Linked DNA regions of Callithrix jacchus. The protein of the gene in region 1 purifies or fractionates together with the protein of each later gene. This does not show direct contact. Links are inferred from orthologs where the notes say so. Each region holds a gene or a part of one and is shown on either strand. Other genes may lie near its edges. The genes, in order: MED1, MED9 and POLR2J.

Evidence for each region.
Region 2: the proteins of MED1 (region 1) and MED9 purify together in Homo sapiens (affinity purification with mass spectrometry; 8 studies listed by BioGRID and IntAct, counting the BioPlex papers as one, with this or other methods). This does not show direct contact. The link is inferred for Callithrix jacchus from reciprocal best matches to the Homo sapiens genes MED1 and MED9.
Region 3: the proteins of MED1 (region 1) and POLR2J purify together in Homo sapiens (affinity purification with mass spectrometry; 3 studies listed by BioGRID and IntAct, with this or other methods). This does not show direct contact. The link is inferred for Callithrix jacchus from reciprocal best matches to the Homo sapiens genes MED1 and POLR2J.

The regions. Positions count from the first base shown.
Region 1 is NC_133506.1:119,863,860-119,869,975, forward strand, and holds part of MED1 (mediator of RNA polymerase II transcription subunit 1), read right to left. Parts: intron 4,128-6,116; coding exon 884-4,127; 3' UTR 1-883. UniProt on the Homo sapiens protein: Component of the Mediator complex, a coactivator involved in the regulated transcription of nearly all RNA polymerase II-dependent genes.
Region 2 is NC_133506.1:69,654,763-69,660,273, reverse strand, and holds the end of MED9 (mediator of RNA polymerase II transcription subunit 9), read left to right. Parts: intron 1-1,140; coding exon 1,141-1,357; 3' UTR 1,358-2,999; downstream 3,000-5,511. Other genes in the region: RASD1 (dexamethasone-induced Ras-related protein 1), read right to left, coding at 4,851-5,398.
Region 3 is NC_133503.1:11,370,567-11,377,794, forward strand, and holds the start of POLR2J (DNA-directed RNA polymerase II subunit RPB11-a), read left to right. Parts: upstream 1-3,090; 5' UTR 3,091-3,162; coding exon 3,163-3,215; intron 3,216-5,825; coding exon 5,826-5,915; intron 5,916-7,228. UniProt on the Homo sapiens protein: Core component of RNA polymerase II (Pol II), a DNA-dependent RNA polymerase which synthesizes mRNA precursors and many functional non-coding RNAs using the four ribonucleoside triphosphates as substrates.

The DNA.
Region 1 (6,116 bases):
TTTTTTTCTTTTGAAAGGAAAATGAGATTACAAATCATTACCTCCACAGGGAGGTGACTCCTAATATTCCTATGATCTCTGAATCCTATTTAAAACCTCCTAAAATAAAAATATCATTTTGGTTTTTCTATTATATTTAACTTTAAAGGCGGCTCTGACTAATCTGCTTGGGCTTGATGCTACAATATTAGCACAAGCTATAAGCTCCCTACCACCATATAAGCCTTGCTCTTCCGCCTCCCATCATTTTGAACCCTAAACCTCATAGATTTAAAACACTGTATAAAAACAAAGGGTTAAAATATTACAAATAAATAGCTAAAATAATCTTCCCTCCCCCAGTCACTCCTAAGAAACAGACACCAAACATTACTTAAGTGTCCAAAATGACCAAAGTCCTTCATTTGCCCATGACTCAAATGGACAACTACCCCAAACAAAGTTGAACAACCTTCATGCAAATGCATCAAGGAATGTATTGCTTTTTCATTTTCTGCCCAGCCCTTCATATACATGCACTAAAATGAGTTTAAAACATGGCCTAAAAATGGAAAAAGGGAGAAGAAAATATATGTGAGTATTTCCCACAAAACTGTTTCCCACCCTTCCCTCTCCCTACATCCCTCCCACCCCGCCCTTCCCTTTCTTAAGCAAGTATTTTAACTTTTTCTTTCTGGCACAGGAACAAAGACTTCTTGGTAACCCTGTGGTCTCTTTAACAGGGTCTGGATATGCCTTTCTAATTCACCCAGCTCAGGGTCAAAGCCATGCCATTTAGTATTAACCAAATCAGACCTGTCGGACTCACCCCTTACAGTGGTTTGCCTATAAACTTATCAATATTTTTTTTCTCTGCCTCTGTTTCTTTTAGGAAATAAGGTTCCTAATTGCCAATCAGGGCCACATCCATAAGATCATCATCTTCTTCCCCAATCATAAAGTCTGGGCTGAGCCTTGAGGGCCTGTCTGCAGATAAGATTGTATTACTTGTCATAGACAAGGATTGGTCTGAAGAGATGGGTGATTTGGACCAACTCTCTGGCTTGATGCTGTGAGATTTTTTCTTGTCTCGGTCTTTGTCCCGGTCTCGGTCCCTATCTTTGTCTTTTACTTTCTTCTTTTCCTTTTTGTGCTTCTTATGTTTCTCTGTGCTGTATTCTGGAAGTGGTCGGATGCCATCATCTGAGCTGGGACTATTCTGATAAGATTTCTCTGCTATGGAGGAGCCTGACTCACTTTCACTGTCCAGATTCTGGGGGGTATATGCTGGTGACTTACTATGGCTGGGAGAGCCACGCTCATGCTTTGGAGTGGAACCACTGATGAGTGGAGAGCCATAGTTTTTAGATGCCATCTGAGGTCTAAGCCCTTCTCCACTACTTTCCCCAGGTTTCTGCAAAGTCACTTTGGCTTTAATGCTGGGGGAGCCTCCATCATGCTTACTGATGATAATTTTTGCCACACCTGTGCTCCCCACATTTTTTGACTCTGAGGTCTTCTTAGAAGAATCCACTGAACTCCCAGAGGTGGAAACCTTTGATTTGTCTTTATCACTTTTCTCCCGCTTGCCCTGAAACTCTCCTCCTGACATGTTATGTTTGGAGGACATAGGATGGCTGGAAGAATTTGTGCTCACCCCCATCTGGCCGTCCATTGGGTCTTCACTCCCAGGGCCACTGGTGACAACCCCGTGCTTCAGTTTATCTATGACGGCTGTCAAGGACGGCTTCTTATTTCTGCTGGGAGATTTTCCTTTGGAACTCCCATGCTGGTTCTGAGAGGATGACATGGAAGAGCCACTTGAGGAAAAGGAGGAGGAAGATGCCGTACAAGAATTAGATGATGGGGGAGTTTTCTGGGACAATGAGCCTGAGGATCCTAACCCTGAAGATGACTTCATGCCAGAGCTTGAACTAGTTCCTGACATATGAGAACCACCAGAACCTGAACTGATAGGGGACTTGGCTTTAGAGGATGGGGGAGTTCCAGGAACAGGCTTCATTGGGGAGGCAAGTTTATCAGAGCCTCCAGGTGGCCTTGAATGAGAAGGGGATATGTTTGGTTTACTTAAAGGATTCATAAGTGATGATGGCTTTCCTTGAGGTTTCATCTTGGTGCTACTAGAGCTGCTGCTCAGTCCATGCTTGGTAATAGGAGAGGAGCCTGGCTTCCCTCCAGACTGCGAGGAATTTTTGGACTGGCCAGATCCAGAAGATCCCTGGCTAGAGTATATACTACTACTTAACTTGGAACTTGATGAGCCTTCTGATTTACTGCTTTTCATCTTCCCTGAGGTGGAAGCAGAAGATGAGGAAGAAGAGGAAGAATGGCTATGGTGGCTTTTGCTGCCTGAGGAAGACACAGAACCACTGCTGGTATACTGACTATGAGAGGAAGGCTTACCCACCATCACTGTTCCCTTAGGAATCTGAATAGTGATTTTGGGAATGGGTGGTGTGGCAACACCTGGGGGAGTCTGAGATCTTCCTGAACTGCCTGGAGATTTAGATCCACCTGTACTGGTAGGAGGGGTAAAAGGTCGGTTAGAAGAACTATGAGATGGCGACTTTCCCTCAGTGTCTGCCTTCTTCCGCTTTGGAGGCTTATCTTTGTTTTTCCCATCATTAGAAGGGGTCCGACTGCGCTTCCCTGGTTTGCTGTCTAATCCTGGCCCCGAAAGAGTACTATTACTGGTGCCATTGCCTTCCTTTACCCTCTTTTGAGTCTTTTCTTTCCCTAAGTCCCCAGTGGCCAGTAAAGGACCTTGACTACCACTGTGATGCTCCATAAGATCTGCAGGACCTAAAGCTTTGCCAGCTACTGATATAATACTGAAATCAACTGTGTCAGCTTGGTTATTGCCCTTAAACTTGGTCTCCCCATTATCACCTCCAAGCATTGGCACCCCCAAAGTATTTAGTGCCTGAGATGCAAATCCTTTGAAATCATCATTATCCCCACTTTGGCTGCTTTCATCAAAATATTCTTCTCCAAAACCACTTTGGCTCTGGCTGTTCAATAAATCAGGATTGAAATCTACTCCATCATGAAAAAAATGATTTGTAGGAGAGTCACTATTGGGACTTCCAGCAGCATCTGCAATAAGGTCAGCTGGATCAGTGTATGGATTTTCATTATTGTTAGTTTGAAAGACATCAGAGTCAAAGAGGGTACTCTGAGAATGCCCAGAGCTTGAAGAATCTCGAAGAGGGGTGCCAATGGCTGGGCAATCATCACTAGTGCTGGGAAGCTTAGAAGCTTCTTCTGCAATGTCTGAAAGGATGTCAGTTACATCTGGGCCAATGCTGTCTGAACTGGATAGTCGGACCATCCTTTGAATACTGGGTTGGGGGTGAGGTACTGGTTGTGGGTAAGTTGTTGGGGGAGTGCTACACTGGCTTGGAGCTGGAGTGATATGTGGCGTATCCAGTGTGTCAGCTGTCATGTTGACATCGAAGATAGGGTTCTGTGAGTCAACATCCATTGAAAATAACTCCCTCTGAAAGTCATCTTCAGTCTGGTGCTTTGGTTTGTCAGGTGGTAATCGTGATGACTTCTTTTTCTTGGTCTTGTTGCTACCCGAGCATATATCCATCCGGGGTGAGCCAGAAGAGGAGTTCTGCCTCTCTAAAGGGCTGCTTCCATAAAGGGTTGAGAAATCCTGGGCAGGATTATCTTTAAGAAGGTTCATGAGCATCGGGTGGTTCTTGGTGTTGCCGGCCATCGAAGAGACAGGTGGCGGCGTGTGATGAGGAGGGGTCGGACTCGAGCCAATGGTAGACCCCCCGTTCCCTGTGATTTGCAACAAACTGGTAAGAATTGGGTTCTGAGACACCTTGCTGAAGTCCTCCCCATGGCCCACCGACTCATGCCGATCTTTGATGCTCATGCTCATATTAAACAAGGTGGTAATGGGACCCCCCGGAAAGGTGTTGGTTGGTGTAGTGGTACCACTCATTGGGTTGTTGCCTGTGGTCATGCCATACCCTGGGCTGCTAGCCGGGGGCAGGTTCTTTTTCACCATGTCTTCAACTGTCTCTGCAATGAGGGACAGTGCTGGGGTGTCGGCCTGAATGGTTTCAGCTTTCCTCCGAATAGCCCTCATCGTCACAGGGATGGACATACATCTGCAAGATAAGATAGAGGAAAACAAAGTTAATATTGCAATAGCTGCTGAATGAGACCTGAGATTTAGATACAACATAAGAGTTTTGCAGTAAGCAGTTTTCAGGTAGGGCAAATAATAGTTCTATCAAATACCAGAGCTTTGGGTAAATTCATTTGAAAAATCTAAGCCAAAATGAAATTGTCAACCTCTTAATAAGAGTCACACAACAAAAGCAAACTATAATCAAGAGTCCAAATAATTGGACTTCAAACTGAACTAAAAGAAAATTGGTAATAATGGAACTCAGTAAGAAAATATCTCCTTAGGGTGGGCGCAGTGGCTCAGGCCTGTAATCCCAGCACTTTGGGAGGCTGAGGGGGTGCATCACTTGGGGTCAGGAGTTTGAGACGAGCCTGGCCAACATGGTGAAACTCTGTCTTTACTAAAAATACAAAAATTAGCCAGGTGTAGTGGTACACACCTGTAATCCCAACTACTCAGGAAGAGGAGACAGGAGAATCACTTGAACCCAGGAGGCAGAGGTTGTAGTGAGCCAAGATCATGCCACTGCACTTCAGCCTAGGTGACAGAGGGAGACTTTGTCTCAAAGTAAAAAAAAAAGGAGGCCAGGTGCAGTGGCTCACACCAGTAATCCCAGCACTTTGGGAGGCTGAGGAGGGCAGACCACAAAGTCAGGTGTTCAAGACTAGCCTGCCCAACATAGAGAAACCCGTCTCTACTAGAAACAAAAAATTAGCAGGGCATGGTGGTGGGTGCCTGTAATCCCAGCTACTCAGGAGGCTGAGGCAGGAGAATTGCTTGAACCTGGGAGGCAGAGGTTGCAGTGAGCCGAGATCATCCAACTGCACTCCAGTCTGGGCAACAGTGCGAGACTCTGTCTCAAAAAAAAAAAAAAAAAAAAAAAAAAAGCCTTCTTCTGGGAGATTCATATGATAATTATAGGGATATATAACTTATTTTAATTAAGGAATCATTAGAAAAATCTCTTGACCCATCAAGTTCTAAACCTTAATGGCCTAGATCATCCCAAAGCTACGCTGTTATAAAAAGTGCTATTTCAGGAATGAAATCTTGTTTATTATAAAGCAAAGCACTTTTTATTTTCCAGATAAATTTATATTCATAAACCTCAGTTTGCAAATGTTTTGCTCTGGGACATATGTCAGCATATTTTTCTTTTTTCTTTTTTGAGATGGAGTTTTGCTCTTGTTGTCCAGGCTGGAGTGCAATGGCTCAATCTCAGCTCACTGCAACCTCCATTTCCTGGGTTCAAGGGATTCTCCTACTTCAGCCTCCCAAATACCTGGGATTACAGGCATGCACCACCACGCCTGACTAATTTCGTGTTTTTAGCAGAGATCGGTTTCTCCATGTTGGTCAGGCTGGTCTCGAAATCCTGACCTCAGGTGATCCACCCACCTCTGCCTCCCAAAGTGCTGGGATTACAGGTGTGAGCTACTGTACCCCGCCAGCATACTTTTCTTATAAGGCCACATAGTTATCTGTTAGGCTTTGTAGGTCATATGTTTCCTGTCCACTTACTCTGCAATATTAGCTAGAAAGCTGCCACAGATATTTAAATGAACAGCAGTGTACCAATAAAATTTATTTACAAAAATAGCCTGCCACACCTGGCTGTAGAAAAATCCCAAAAAATTACATATTAATGTTTCTGGGATGCAGACTGGCTTAAGTATCTCCCATGTAACATTTAAGTTGGTGTTTTTGTTTGTTTGTTTTGAGATGGGATCTCACTCCATCGACTAGGCTGGAGTGGAGTGGCGCAATCTCAGCTCACTGCAACCTATACCTCCCAAGTTCAAGCGATTCTTCTGCCTCAGCCTCCCCAGTAGTTCAGATTATAGGCACCTGCCACCACACCTGGCTAATTTTTGAATTTTTATTTATATATATAGTTTTTGTTTTGTTTCTTTGTTTGCTTCTCAGACGGAGTCTCACTCCATCGCTCAGGCTGGAATGCAGTGGC
Region 2 (5,511 bases), about 50 Mb from region 1:
ATTTTTATATTTTTAGTAGAGACAGGGTTTCACCATGTTGGCCCAGATAGTCTTGATCTTCTGACCTCAGGTGATCTGCCTGCCTTGGTCTCCCAAAGTGCTGGGATTACAGGTATGAGCCACTGCGCCCGGTCCACTTAACTAACTTTTTTAAAATGTATAGGATGGCTCACGCCTGTAATCCCAACACTTTGGGAGGCCAAGGTGGGTGGATCACAAGGTCAAGAGATCGAGACCATCCTGGTCAACATGGTGGAACCCCGTCTCTACTAAAAATACAAAAAATTAGCTGGGCATGGTGGCACACGCCTGTAATTCCATCTACTCAGGAGGCTGAGGCAGGAGAATTGCCTGAACCCAGGAGGCGGAGGTTGCAGTGAGCCAAGATCGTGCCATTGCACTCCAGCCTGGGTAACAAGAGCGAAACTCCGTCTCAAAAAAACAAACAAAAAAAAAGTATAGGAGCAACTTTCAGGCTGTTTCTTTCATCTCAGGTGAGGTTATTCTTGCCTCGTTTTTCACTGAGTGGGAGCTCTGTGCAGCTAATAGTAGCTGTGAGATGGAGCGAATGATCTGCTTTGAAAGTGAACTTGACTCAAAGGGTAAGGAGTGTACATGACCATAGTAGAAGAGAGCCTATGTCTGCTGAAACATTTAAATTAACTAAACTTTAAAATTTATGAACAGCTCTGTGGATATTAGTCTTTATGTTAACCAGTTCAAGCCAGTATCAAAACCTCCACTAAAGTTAGCTCTTGCTAGCTGGTAGAGCCTCCTGACTGGTCTGGAAATGTCTCCAATTAGACGAAATGTCGTATTTCAGTAAGTTGTGTTTGGCATTTGTCACCTGCTGTTGGTATTGGTTTGTTCATTGAATACATGTTCTGTGAGCTTATTTGCCAAGCATTCATTCTTTCCATGGATATTTCTTGAGTGCCTGCAGTGCCCTGTACACTGGGCCAGGGGTAGGGAGACATCTGTGACCAGGCAGACATGGTCCTTGACCTCACAGAGTAACAGTTGACAAAGTGTTCTAAAAGCTGTTGCAGGAATGACAGCCAGCTCTGGGGGGTGCAGGGCAGGAAAGCCACGATGAGTATCAAGCTGCGAATGCTCATGGCTCTTACTCTGCCCCCGCAGCATGGACAAGGACAGCCCCGAGGTCCACCAGGACCTGAACACCCTCAAAACCAAGTTCCAGGAGATGCGCAAGCTCATCAGCACCATGCCCGGCATCCACCTGAGCCCTGAACAGCAGCAGCAGCAGCTGCACAGCCTCCGGGATCAAGTCAGGACCAAGAACGAGCTTCTGCAAAAGTACAAGAGCCTCTGCATGTTCGAAATCCCCAAGGAGTAGAGCGAGGCCGACTTCCAGGAGCACCTGAGAAAGAGGGAAGCAAATGGCCTGTCACCCCACAGCCACTACCCCCCCGGCCGAACGCTTGTTGGGGCACAGTTCCTGTGGAACCCAGCTCAGAACTTCAAGCTGCAGGGGCGGGGTTCCTGTGCGGGAGCCAGCGCCGAGAGCTTGGCTGTGCTGGGGCTTCCTTGTGTAGATCCATATGTCTAGATGCATAATAACTGGAGTGCCTGCTGGTGGAAGTCAGAATGCTCCTGGAGGCTGCGGAGGGGGTGGAGGACTCTCCCTTGCCTCTGGGGAGGGGGCCATCTGCTTCGCATCCAGCCCCACTGACAGATCTGAAGAACACAGTAAGAAGGGAGGCGGTTCCTCTCTGCTTCCTTCCCTCCCCCTCCTCCCACCCCCATAGGATCAGTGTGTACCAGGTACATATTGTTCCTGTTAGCAGCAGCTTCTTGAAACACTTGCATAGAATCCACTGGACAAATTAAGCCTGCGCTCATATGGCATAGAGCTGTGAGAGAATGTTTTGAAAGGCCACAGGGTGGCTTTTTTCCCAGTTTGGTTCCTTTTCTGTTTGAGCGGTGAAGGAACTATAGCTGTGGGGGTGTCGGCCCACACCCCTGCCAGGCAGCCCCTGGCTGCAGCTTCCCTGCTTCCTAGCACTCTCCTCTCCTTCAGCGCTTGCTCTCTTCCTTGCTCGGCACCTTCAGTCAGTGCCCAGGGCTGGCAAGGGGCCGTCCTTTCCACTCAGGCTGGAAGAGGTCTTCAGGCGGACAGACCTGTCTTCTGTCATTTCAGATTCCCATTGCCGTGGTGAAAAGGTCTTTCCCTTCTGTTCTCACTTGTGGCAGCGATGTGTACTATGCTGCAGAGGGGTTCATGATGCACCTTGTGTTCAGAGAGGGGCAGTTCGGGTGGTCCTCAGCCATGAGCTAGGCCTGACAGTGACACAGCCAAGTTTGAGCTCTTAAAGGTTTATAGCAGCCCTCATTTCCCCAGCATCCCTGATTTCTTCCGGATGGGACATTTTCTTTGTTTGCTCTCCCTTGACTGTCAAATTGAGGTAGGAGTAGTTCTCACCCTTGCTTCTCCAAGAGGGGGTGCCAAGTCCTGGAGTGTTGTTTGGGTCTAGGAATGAGCACACAACCTGCGCTGACCACTTCGGGGACTTAGCAGATGCCCGCCAACTGACCTCATTGGTAGGAGGACTGGGTGAAGATGTTTTTAGCAGAGCTGCCATTAGTGTCCAACTGCAGCTACCTATCAGAATGTGGGTGGTATATTGGGGACCTGGGGATGTGTGAAGGAGGAGACCAGATTTCAGTGGCTTTGCACAAAAAAGTAGGCTCGGAATTCAAGTGGGTGGTCACCTGTTAGACCAGTTCTACCTTGGAACTGTTATTTAACTGAATCAGTTATTTCCTTGAAATTTCACAGTTGCGGGTCGGCCACTTTTAAGGCTCTGACAGATACCATGAAACATGAAGCACATGGAAATCTAAGACCCTTGGGGTCTGAATGCAAGGCTGAAATGAACAAGGGCTCCTCACGCGGGTGGAGGGAGCTGGAGCCTACCTTGTGTTCCTGTTTTGACTTGTGACATTCAAACGCATAATTAAAAGGACTTGTACTCTGCTGTTTCTGGACATCATGCTTTCTGTACTGAGAAATTCATAGTGGGATGCTCTCAGATCATTTAGAGGAAAATGTTTCTCTTACTCTGTTCAGACACAGAACCAACCCTCTGTTCCTCAACTCCCTCCACTCACCTGCTGAACCAGTGTGGAACAGGAACTCCTCTCCCGGCTGGCCTCAAGGGGAGTTTGCCTGGCAGGTCATCCCTGCCCCTGCCTGGCACGGGCCCCTGGGCATCCGTGGTTGCCTTTGATGGAGTGGCAGGGTGGGAGTGGGGGTCCAGTGCCTTTTGGTGACTGGAGGTTTAGTCCTGCCAGAACTGCCCTCCCTGAGCAGGGTTGAAATCCTTCTAGGACAATTGTTGAGTGTTCCTCACAGGGCTGAGCACCCTCTCAAAGCCACTAATTATTTGGATTACTGGGTGGCATGCATTTGTGCTAAGTACTTTTCAGATACCACACTTAATCCTCACAGCAAGCCCATGCAGAGGGTGCTCTGCCCCAGGTTTGCAGTACTAGTGACAGAGGTGTTCCTGGGTGCCTTAGGCATGAGAGGGAGATAGCAAGGCTGAGGGGTGCATGGGGCTCCACTCCTGGGCTTGAGCACTGCCTGGAGCTAGAAGGGAGCAGACGCCCAAGGGTTAGCTGTTTCCTGCCAGGGTGGCACCCTGGAGGGAGGGGGTGGGAGTGGGCACCTGGATGGACCTGCTTCCAGATGGGTCTCAGGGTCTTTCCTCAGGGCCTGAGTGATACCTCCCAGTCTGAGAGTTCGCCTGGGCCCACACTGAGTCTGGTGACAAAATGGCTAGGCACAGTTCCAGTGGCCCTTGGGCTAAGGAGAATTCAGAACGTTTTCTTAGAAAATGAGGCCTTTTGTCATCAAACACAAAGAAAATTAAGCGGGTAGGTGGCTAGAAAGAGTTCATCTCCAGGAGGGACCCTGAAATCCTTTACCTTCGTCCTGGTTTTGTAGGGAACCATCCCCTGCATAGATGCCCCAGGCACCTAGGGCCTTTCTGGCCGCCAAAGCTGCTTTCAGAAGGGCAGGGTATTTTCCAGTTCCGAGGAAGGTTAAGTTCTAGTTCCACACAAGTCAAAGCCCAGCCCCTTCCCTCTCCCTACCCTTCCCGCCTCCAGCCATCTCTAAAAGCAAAGAAAAACCGGTTTTCCATTTTAAATTATTTTATTGTATATTTAAAAACCAACAGTAATAAAGACCTCACTCGCACACACGCAGTACAAATACCAGGGTGAGGTTTTGTTGGTGTCCGTGTTGACACCGGAACTACTGTTAAAGTGCAAGTTTGGTTTTGTGTTCCTTTGTGCAGTTTCACTCACATGTAAACAAGTCACTTGGCTATGATTTGACCCAGCCCCCCTTAGTTTTGGGAGGGCACAGGTTCTGCCGGCTGTCATGGCAACCCGGAATCACAGACAAGATAATGCCCCGTGGGTCCTGACCCTCAAGCCGGGCAGGACGGTTTCTTGAAGCCTAACAGGCTGGATAACTTCACATCACCCCCACCCCGCACTCACTCTTAGGTCTTTGAGAAGACAATGCCACTCTCGGCAGGGCCCTTGCCCCCCACCCCGCCAAGTTGTGGGGATGGGATGGGGTGAGGGTGGGAGTAGTCTCAGTCTTGGCCAGTTCTCTTTCCTTCCAGAGCAGATGACTGTCCCTTCTTGGTTCAGTGGCGCCTCCCCAGCGCTGGGGGCGGATCGCGGGGAGGGAAGACGCTAGTCCAGTCCGCGCGCTCGCGGCCCCGGGGCGCACGGGGCGTGCCGGGCCGTTGGATTTGACTTAAACAAAAAGGTCCTCCTTATGTCGTGTGGCTGCCGGCGCGGTGGGGCTCCTAGCTGATGACGCAGCGCTCCTTGTCCTTCGCCTGGCTGCCGGCGCTGGCCTTTTCTCGGATGTACATGAGGTCGCTGTGCACGCTTGGCCGGCGCGCGAAGGGTGCCACGATGCCGAAGGCGTCGCCCGGGTCGCCGCCGCCGGCCCGCAGCAGCCTCTTGTTCCGCAGCGCCTTCTTGTGCAGCACGTCGCAGTACTGCACGGAGACCTTGCGGTGCAGGTCCGGACTCATCTCGCTTGGCAGCTTGGCCATGGCGAAGAGTGCACGGAACATCTGGTCCAGGCTGCTGTTCTTCTTGGCTGAGATCTCGAAGTAGGCGCAGCGCTGGGGGTCGTCGCCCACCAGCTGCTCGATCTCGCGCTGCTCCACCTCGCGGTAGAAGTCCCGGTCACCCTTGTTGCCACAGATGACCAGGGGCACGTCCACGTTCTCCTTGGTTTTGTTCTTGAGGCAAGCCTTGGTGTCGAGGATCTGCTGTCTGAGCCGCTGAACCTCCTCGAAGGAGTCGCGGTTGTCCAGGCTGAACACCAGGATGAAAACGTCTCCTAGAGGGGGCACAGAGAGCAGAAAAGGAGAAGGTGAGGGTGGCTGTCCAGGGGACAAGTTGGGCTGACTTCGGGGTCGCGCGGGGCGCGCTTGCCTCTCCAAGCGCGAGGCG
Region 3 (7,228 bases), on another chromosome or scaffold:
ACCCACTTGGCCTCCCAAAGTGCTGTGATTACAAGTGTGAGCCACCGCACCCAGCCTATTTTGTCTTTTTAGTAGAGATGGGATTTCATGGGGTTTCACCATGTAGGCCAGGCTGGTCTCAAATTTCTGACCTCAGATGATCCTTCTGGCTTAGCCTCCCAAAATGCTGAGATTACAGGCATAAGCCATCGAACCTGGCTTTTTTTTTTTTTTTTTTTTTTTTTGAGACAAAGTCTCCCTCTGTCACCCAGGCTGGAGGATAGTGACATAATCTCGACTCACTGCAACCTCCACCTTCTGAGTTCAAGTGATTCTCCCACCTCAGCCTCCTGAGTAGCTGGAATTACAGGTGCCTACCACCACACCTGACTCATTTTTTAATTTTTAGTAGAGAGAGACAGGGTTTCACCATATTGGTCAGACTGGTTTTGAACTCCTGACCTCAAGTGATCTGCCAACCTCATCCTCTCAAAGTGCTGGGATTACAGGCATGAGCTACCTTGCCCAGTCCCAGAAGTCTGGATGATCTGATTGGACCCCCAGGCAGCTATCTGCAGCACAGGGGCTGGTGTTCGCCACAGAGCAGGCACCCTGGGAAGCCCTGAGGGGCCCCAGCTCATCCAGTGCCTGCTTCTCTCAACCTCTTTGGAAATCTGAACAGATTGGCAGCAACCGCCTCCACACAAAGCCTTGTCAAAGTATAACTTCAAATACATACAAAGAAAAATAGTAATGATTCATATATAGAATGAACACCCATCAAAGATCAATTACACATCAGTTCAGAAGTGTTCGGGAACTCTGAATCATGTATGATTCTGAGAATCTGGGTACATGTATTTCATGTATTTGTAAGTTTTTTTTTGTTTTTTTGTTTTTTGAGACAGGGTCTCATTCTGCCACCCAGACTGGAGTGCAGTGGTGCAATCATAGCTCACTGCAGCCTCGACGTCCTGGGCTCAAGAGATCCTATTGCTTCAGCCTTCTAAGTAAACAGAACTACAGGCACATACTACTATGCGCAGCTGATTTTTAAAATTTGTAGTAGAGACAAGATCTCGCTCTATTGCCCAGGCTAGTGTCAAACTCCTGGGCTCAAGCAATCCTCCCTCCTCAGCCTCCCAAAGAGCTAGGACTGCAGATATGAGCCACTGTGCCTGGCCAGTAAGCATTTTAAGAGAAGCAACCCAGACAAAGATTGTGATGTTAGATACGAACCAGTTAATGAAGTTTTCTTTTCTATGGGATAGAAACTGCAAGTTAATAAGTAACTTCAGTGTCTGGGCTGTAATCAAACAAGCAGGAAAGTCAACACAGCCACAATCCCTGAGATTAGGATCAGCAAACGTTTTCTGTAAAGGACCAGGCATGCAGCTCTGAGTCACAACCACTCTGCCACGTAGCACAAAAGCAACTACAGCCAACGTGTAACAAATCAGCATGGCGTGTGTGGCTGGGGTGGAGCTCATGCCTATAATCCCAGCACTTTGGGAGGCCAAGGTGAGAAGATCACTTGAGGCCAGGGGTTTGAGACCAGCTTGGGCAACAAAGTTGGACCCCCCCCCCCCCATCTCTACAAAAAGTAAAAAAAAAATAAATAAATAACTGGGTGCTGTGGTGTCTGCCTGTGGTCTTAGCTATTGGGGAGGCTGAGGCAGGAGGACTTGACCTCGTGGGAGGCCTGCCTCAGCCTCCCACCGTGGTGGGATTGAGCCCAGGAGCTTGAGGCTGTAGTGAGCTATGATGTCGACACTGCACTGCAGCCTGGGCGACAGAGCTGGTGTCACACCACTGCACTCCAGCCTGGGTGACAGAGCTGGTATCACACCACTGCACTCCAGCCTGGGCGACAGAGCTGGTATCACACCACTGCACTCCAGCCTGGGCGACAGAGCTGATATCACACCACTGCACTCCAGCCTGGGCGACAGAGCTGATATCACACCACTGCACTCCAGCCTGAAGACAGAGCTGATATCACACCACTGCACTCCAGCCTGGGCGACAGAGCTGGTATCACACCACTGCACTCCAGCCTGGGCGACAGAGCTGATATCACACCACTGCACTCCAGCCTGGGCGACAGAGTAAGACTCCGTCTCAAGGAGGGCCTTTATGCTAAACTGTAGTCTGCAAAACAGCCAAACCAAAAGGTAAGATAGACTTATCCACCAAGTGCAGTGGCTCAATCTTAGCCCTTTGGGAGGCTGAGATGAGAGAATTGCTGGAAGCCAGGAGTTCAAGACCAGCCTGGGCAACACAGCAAGACCCCAACTCTTAAAAGAAAACTAGCTAGGTGTGATGGCACGTGCCTGCAAGTCCTAGCTACTTGAAAGGCTGAAGTGGATCTCCGGAGCCCGGGAGTTGGAGGCTGCATTGAGCTATGATGGCACCACTGCACTCCAGCCTGGGCGACAGAGTGAGCCACTGTCTCTAAATGATAATAATATATAAAAAGATTTACATAACCCTCCGAGCTCCCTCTCACTGCTGTATACACCCGCCTCCTTCCCCATCCGTCACCCAACTGTCCCTCCCTTCTAACAAGCCAGTGGCATCCCAGCCAGGGGTCTCACAGCAGTCGGTGTAGGCAGCCTCGGCAGGGGGCTTAGCACAGATCTGCCTCTGGCCACGAGACCTTCCTCAGCTCCCCTCACGGCTGCCAGCCGCAGCTGCCCATTCCCCTTAGCTCTATTCTCTCTATTCAGGGGCCTCCTGCTGTGCACTCCAAGGGGGTGCACGGTTGCAAAGCGAGATCAAGGGTCGTGGGGAGCAGAGAGGCACAGCTTGGGGTTTCCACTCAGTCAGGATTAGGAGATCTCTGGAGGGGCAGAGCAGCCCTCCCGGCGCTCTGAGCATGCGCCAAAAAGCGCCCACGTTGAAAGCCACGAGGGGGTGAGGGGGTGGGAGTTGGGGGGGTGGGGCTTCCATACTGACGCAGGCGCAGAGGTACTGGCCTCGCTCGGGCTTTTCTCGCTCCTGCGCAAGATCCTCCAGCCCAATAGGGGGCGATGAGCTGGTCCCTACGCTAGTTTGACCCGCCAGAGTAATCCGGAAGAAGCCTCTTACTAGGGCTTCGGAGGCGGCGGCAGCGGACGCTTAGGGTCTGGACGCGGCAGTGGTGGCGGCGGCGGCGGCGGCGGCGGCGGCGGCGGCAGGAGTATGAACGCCCCTCCAGCCTTCGAGTCGTTCTTGCTCTTCGAAGGCGAGAAGAAGTAAGTGACGCCAGCTGGGAGGAGCCGAGGTTTGCGGGGCTGCGACTGTCGCATTCCGGGGGCGTTTCCTGCCCATGTCTTGCTCCGGGAGGGAAGCAGCTTTTGCCTGATAGTCCGCACGGCCTGTGTCGGCCAAATTTAAGCCAGTTCCGGGAGGCAGTGGCGAGTGTGTCCATTTGGCAGATGAGGACACTGAGGCTCGGAGGAGCAAGTTGCCCCAGACACGGAGGAGGTGGCGGGGCTTGTATTCGAACCCAGAGTGTCTGGCTCTCCATAGCCCTCTTCCTCTGGGACGTGGCAGCCTCCTCTCTTGTCTTCCGCCCGCCGCCTCCATCCCCCGTGTCCTTTGATTTGCCAACGGCCTGTGTAAAAGCCGCAGTGGCTTCTTGCTGCCTGCTGGTTGAAGGAGTCCCCGGGAGAGACAGCTTGGGCTTGGCCCCTGGGTCCCCCACTTAGCGACTGTATCTGTACGAGTGCCGTGATCTTTTGGAGGCCCTGTTTCCTTTTCTGGAAAATGGATTTGTTACTTTTCATTTTTTTCGAAACGGAGTTTTGCTCCTGTTGCCCAGGCTGGAGTGCAATGGCGCGATTTCGGCTCACTGCAACCTCCACCTCCCAGGTGCAAGCAATTCTCCTGCCTCAGCTTCCTGAGTAGCTGGAATTACAAGCATGCGCCACCACGCCCGGCTAATTTCTTATTTTTGGTAGAGACGCGGTTTCTCTATATTAGCCTGTGTGGTCTCGAACTCCCAATCTCAGCTGATGCTCCTGCCTCGGCCTCCCAGAGTGCAGGCATTACAGGCGTGAGTGACGGCCTCCGGTCTATTACTGTTCTTAAACATGGGATTTGGCCAGGTGCGCTGGCTCACGCGTTTAATCCCATCACTTTGGGAGGCTGGCTTGAGCACAGGAGTTGCAGGCTCCAGTGAGCTGTGATCGCATCACTGCACTCCAGCCTGGGCGACAGAGTGAGATCTTGTCTCAAAAAGAATTGGATGAGGTAATTTGTGTCAAGCACTTGGTCTAAAGCTCGGCACCTGGAAGACCTCATAACCACTGGCTCTTACTGTTCCCAGGTTGGCGTGCAGAGGTCTTGGTCTGGCCCTTGCCGGCCAGTTTGGCCTTTTTTTTTTTTTTTGGACAGTCTCACTCTGTCCACCCAGGCTGGAGTGCAATGGTGTGATCTCACGGCAACCTCCACCTCCATGTCCCAGGTTCAAGTGATTTTCCTGCCTCAGCCTCCTGAATAGCTGGGATTACAGGCATGCACCATCACATCCGGCTAATTGTGTGTTTTTAGTAGAGACCGGGTTTCTCCATGTTGGTCAGGCTGGTCTCAAACTCCCAACCTCAGGTGATCTGCCCGTCTCTGCCTCCCAAAGTGCTGGGATTACAGGTGTGAGCCAGTGCACCGGGCTTGGCCTCATTTTAGAGCAGACTCTCAGCTGGGGACCATTTGGCAATAATTGGGGACATTTATGGTGTCAAAGGGGGTTATGACTGGAATCTACTGGATAGAGGTCAGGGTGCTGCTGCTGTCCAGCAAGATAGCACCCCACAGGAAAGAATCATGCAGCCTAAAACGTCTGTGGTGTCAACATGGAGAAACTACCTTAGAAAAAAGGGGCAGTCAGGCACAGTGGCTCACGCCTGTAATCCCAGCACTTTGGGAGGCTCAGGCAGTTGGATCACGAGGTCAGGCGTTCAAGACCAGCCTGGCCAACATGGTGAAATCCCGTCTCTGCTAAAAATGCAAAAAAAAAAAAAAAAAAGCCGAGCATGGTGGCACACGCCTGTAACCCCAGCTGCTCAGGAGGCTGAGGCAGAATTACTTGAACTGGGGAGGCAGAGGTTGAAGTGAGTCGAGATTGTGCCACTACACTCCAGCCTGGGCAACAGAGCAAGACTCCATCTCAAAAGAAAAAAAGGAGCAGGCTAGGCATGGTGGCATGCGCCTGTGGTCCCAGCTACTCAGGAGGCTAAGGCTGGAGGCTACAGTGAGCTGTGATCACACCACTGCACTCCAGCCTGGGCAGCAGGAGGGATCACTTGAGGCAAGTTCAAGACCAACCAGGACGACAAAGCAAAACCTCATCTCTTCTAAAAGAGAGGGAGAGGAAAGACAAGAGGAGGAACTCCGAGAAGGGCCAAGGTTCCACAGACCTGGGGTAGGGAATCAGGCTGGAGAGGTCTTTATGGGAGGAAGAGATTGAGAAAGGTCTTCAGGAGGAGGCAGAGCTTTTCATTTTTATTTTTTTGAGACAGTCTTGCTCTGTTGCCTAGGCTGGAGTGCAGTGGCGCAATCTTGGCTCACTTCAACCTCCTCCCAGGTTCAAGTGATTCTCCTGCCTCAGCCTCCCAAGTAGCTGAGAACACAAGCATGGACCACCACACCCAGTTTGGGTTTTATTTTTAGTAGACAAAGTTTCACCATGTTGGCCAGGCTGGTCTGGAACTCCTGACTTCAGGTCATCCATCTACCTCAGCCTCCCAAAGGGTGGGGATTACAGACATGAACCACTGCACCTGGTCCGAAGGAGGCAGGGTTTAGACTTGGGGTGGGCGGAGGGGAGCCCCTGTCCCTCATCTGTGGCCTCTGTGTCTTCCTAGGATCACCATTAACAAGGACACCAAGGTACCCAATGCCTGTTTGTTCACCATCAACAAAGAAGACCACACACTGGGAAACATCATTAAATCGTAAGTTTCCCGTCAAAGGCTCTCAGGGGCTATGTTTAATAGGCGCCTCTGGGCAAAACAGAAGTTTTAAGATTTTCCTCCATCTCTCAGCTACAGGAAGTCCTTCTGGGGGCTTGCTCTGGGCATTTGGTAATGTTGGTACTTTATCAAAATGACGCTGACCTTCATGTCTTCACATAAGCTACGCTTCTGTAGTGGCTTATTCTGTAGACAAACGTGCATTTACTTTTTTTTTTTTTTGGGAGTTTTTGCTCGTTGCCCAGGCTAGAGTGCAGTGGCGCAATTTTGGCTCACTGCAACTTCTGCCTCCCAGATTCAAGCGATTCTCCTGCTGGGACTGGCCACCATGACCTGCTAATTTTTGTGTTCTCAGTAGAGGCGGGGTTTCACTATGTTGGCTAGACTGGTCTTGAACTCCTGACCTCAGGTGATTCACCTGCCTTGGCTTCTCAAAGTACTGGGATTACAGGCATGAGCCACGCACCCAGCCTTCCATTCACTGTTAAGTGCACGTTCTGTGAGTGAGTGAGAGCAGGTTCCAGCAGAGTAGGCCTGTGTGTTCATGGGCTGAGGGGCACTGAGCAGCAGTCAAGATTAGCTCCCCCAATGCCACCCCTATTTGTGACCTCAGTGCCACCTGGCACGCTTAAGATGTATGTGGCAGAGATGAGAACTTGTGTTTAACAAGGGAAAGAGGTAGGGGAGTTCTGTGGTTGTCCAGTGCCAGACAGGTGCCTGGCCTTGGTTCATGGGTGTTCCTTTACACCACTGAAGTCCTAGCTAGGTGGTTGATTAGGAATGTGACTGTCATTTCACTTGTAGACTTGGCTCTTCCCTCTGGTGCCATCAGTGAAGCCAGGCTTTTCCCAGGCTGTGAGAGGTGTGCCCAGGCACAGGGATGGAGGACTCCTCCCCGGAGTCCAGCCAGTGCAGCCCCTATGCTCTCCTCCAGCCCAGTGTTGCCAGCTGTGCACGGGTGTCCTTTGTGGTGCTCACAGGAGACCCTGCGTGCCCAGGGCACAGCACACAATGCTGCCCAGAGCCTGGGCCCTCCTCTCCTTGCTGCCTTTATTTGCTGTGGGATGTTCTTTTTGGGTCCGATTCATTGAACACTGGCTGGACATCCACTGCCTGGGAGATCTCTTTGCCAGCCCTGTGGTTCTTTGTGGGAAGAGGTTGCTGGAGGCTGTTTCCTGCTCAGGTCCTTCAACCTTAGGGGTGCAGGGAGGGGGTGTGTGTGTCTTCTCCCCTTCAACTTCATGCATGCAGGGTGTGTCCGAGTTGGGGGTGGGGTGTCCCCATATGATCTATCC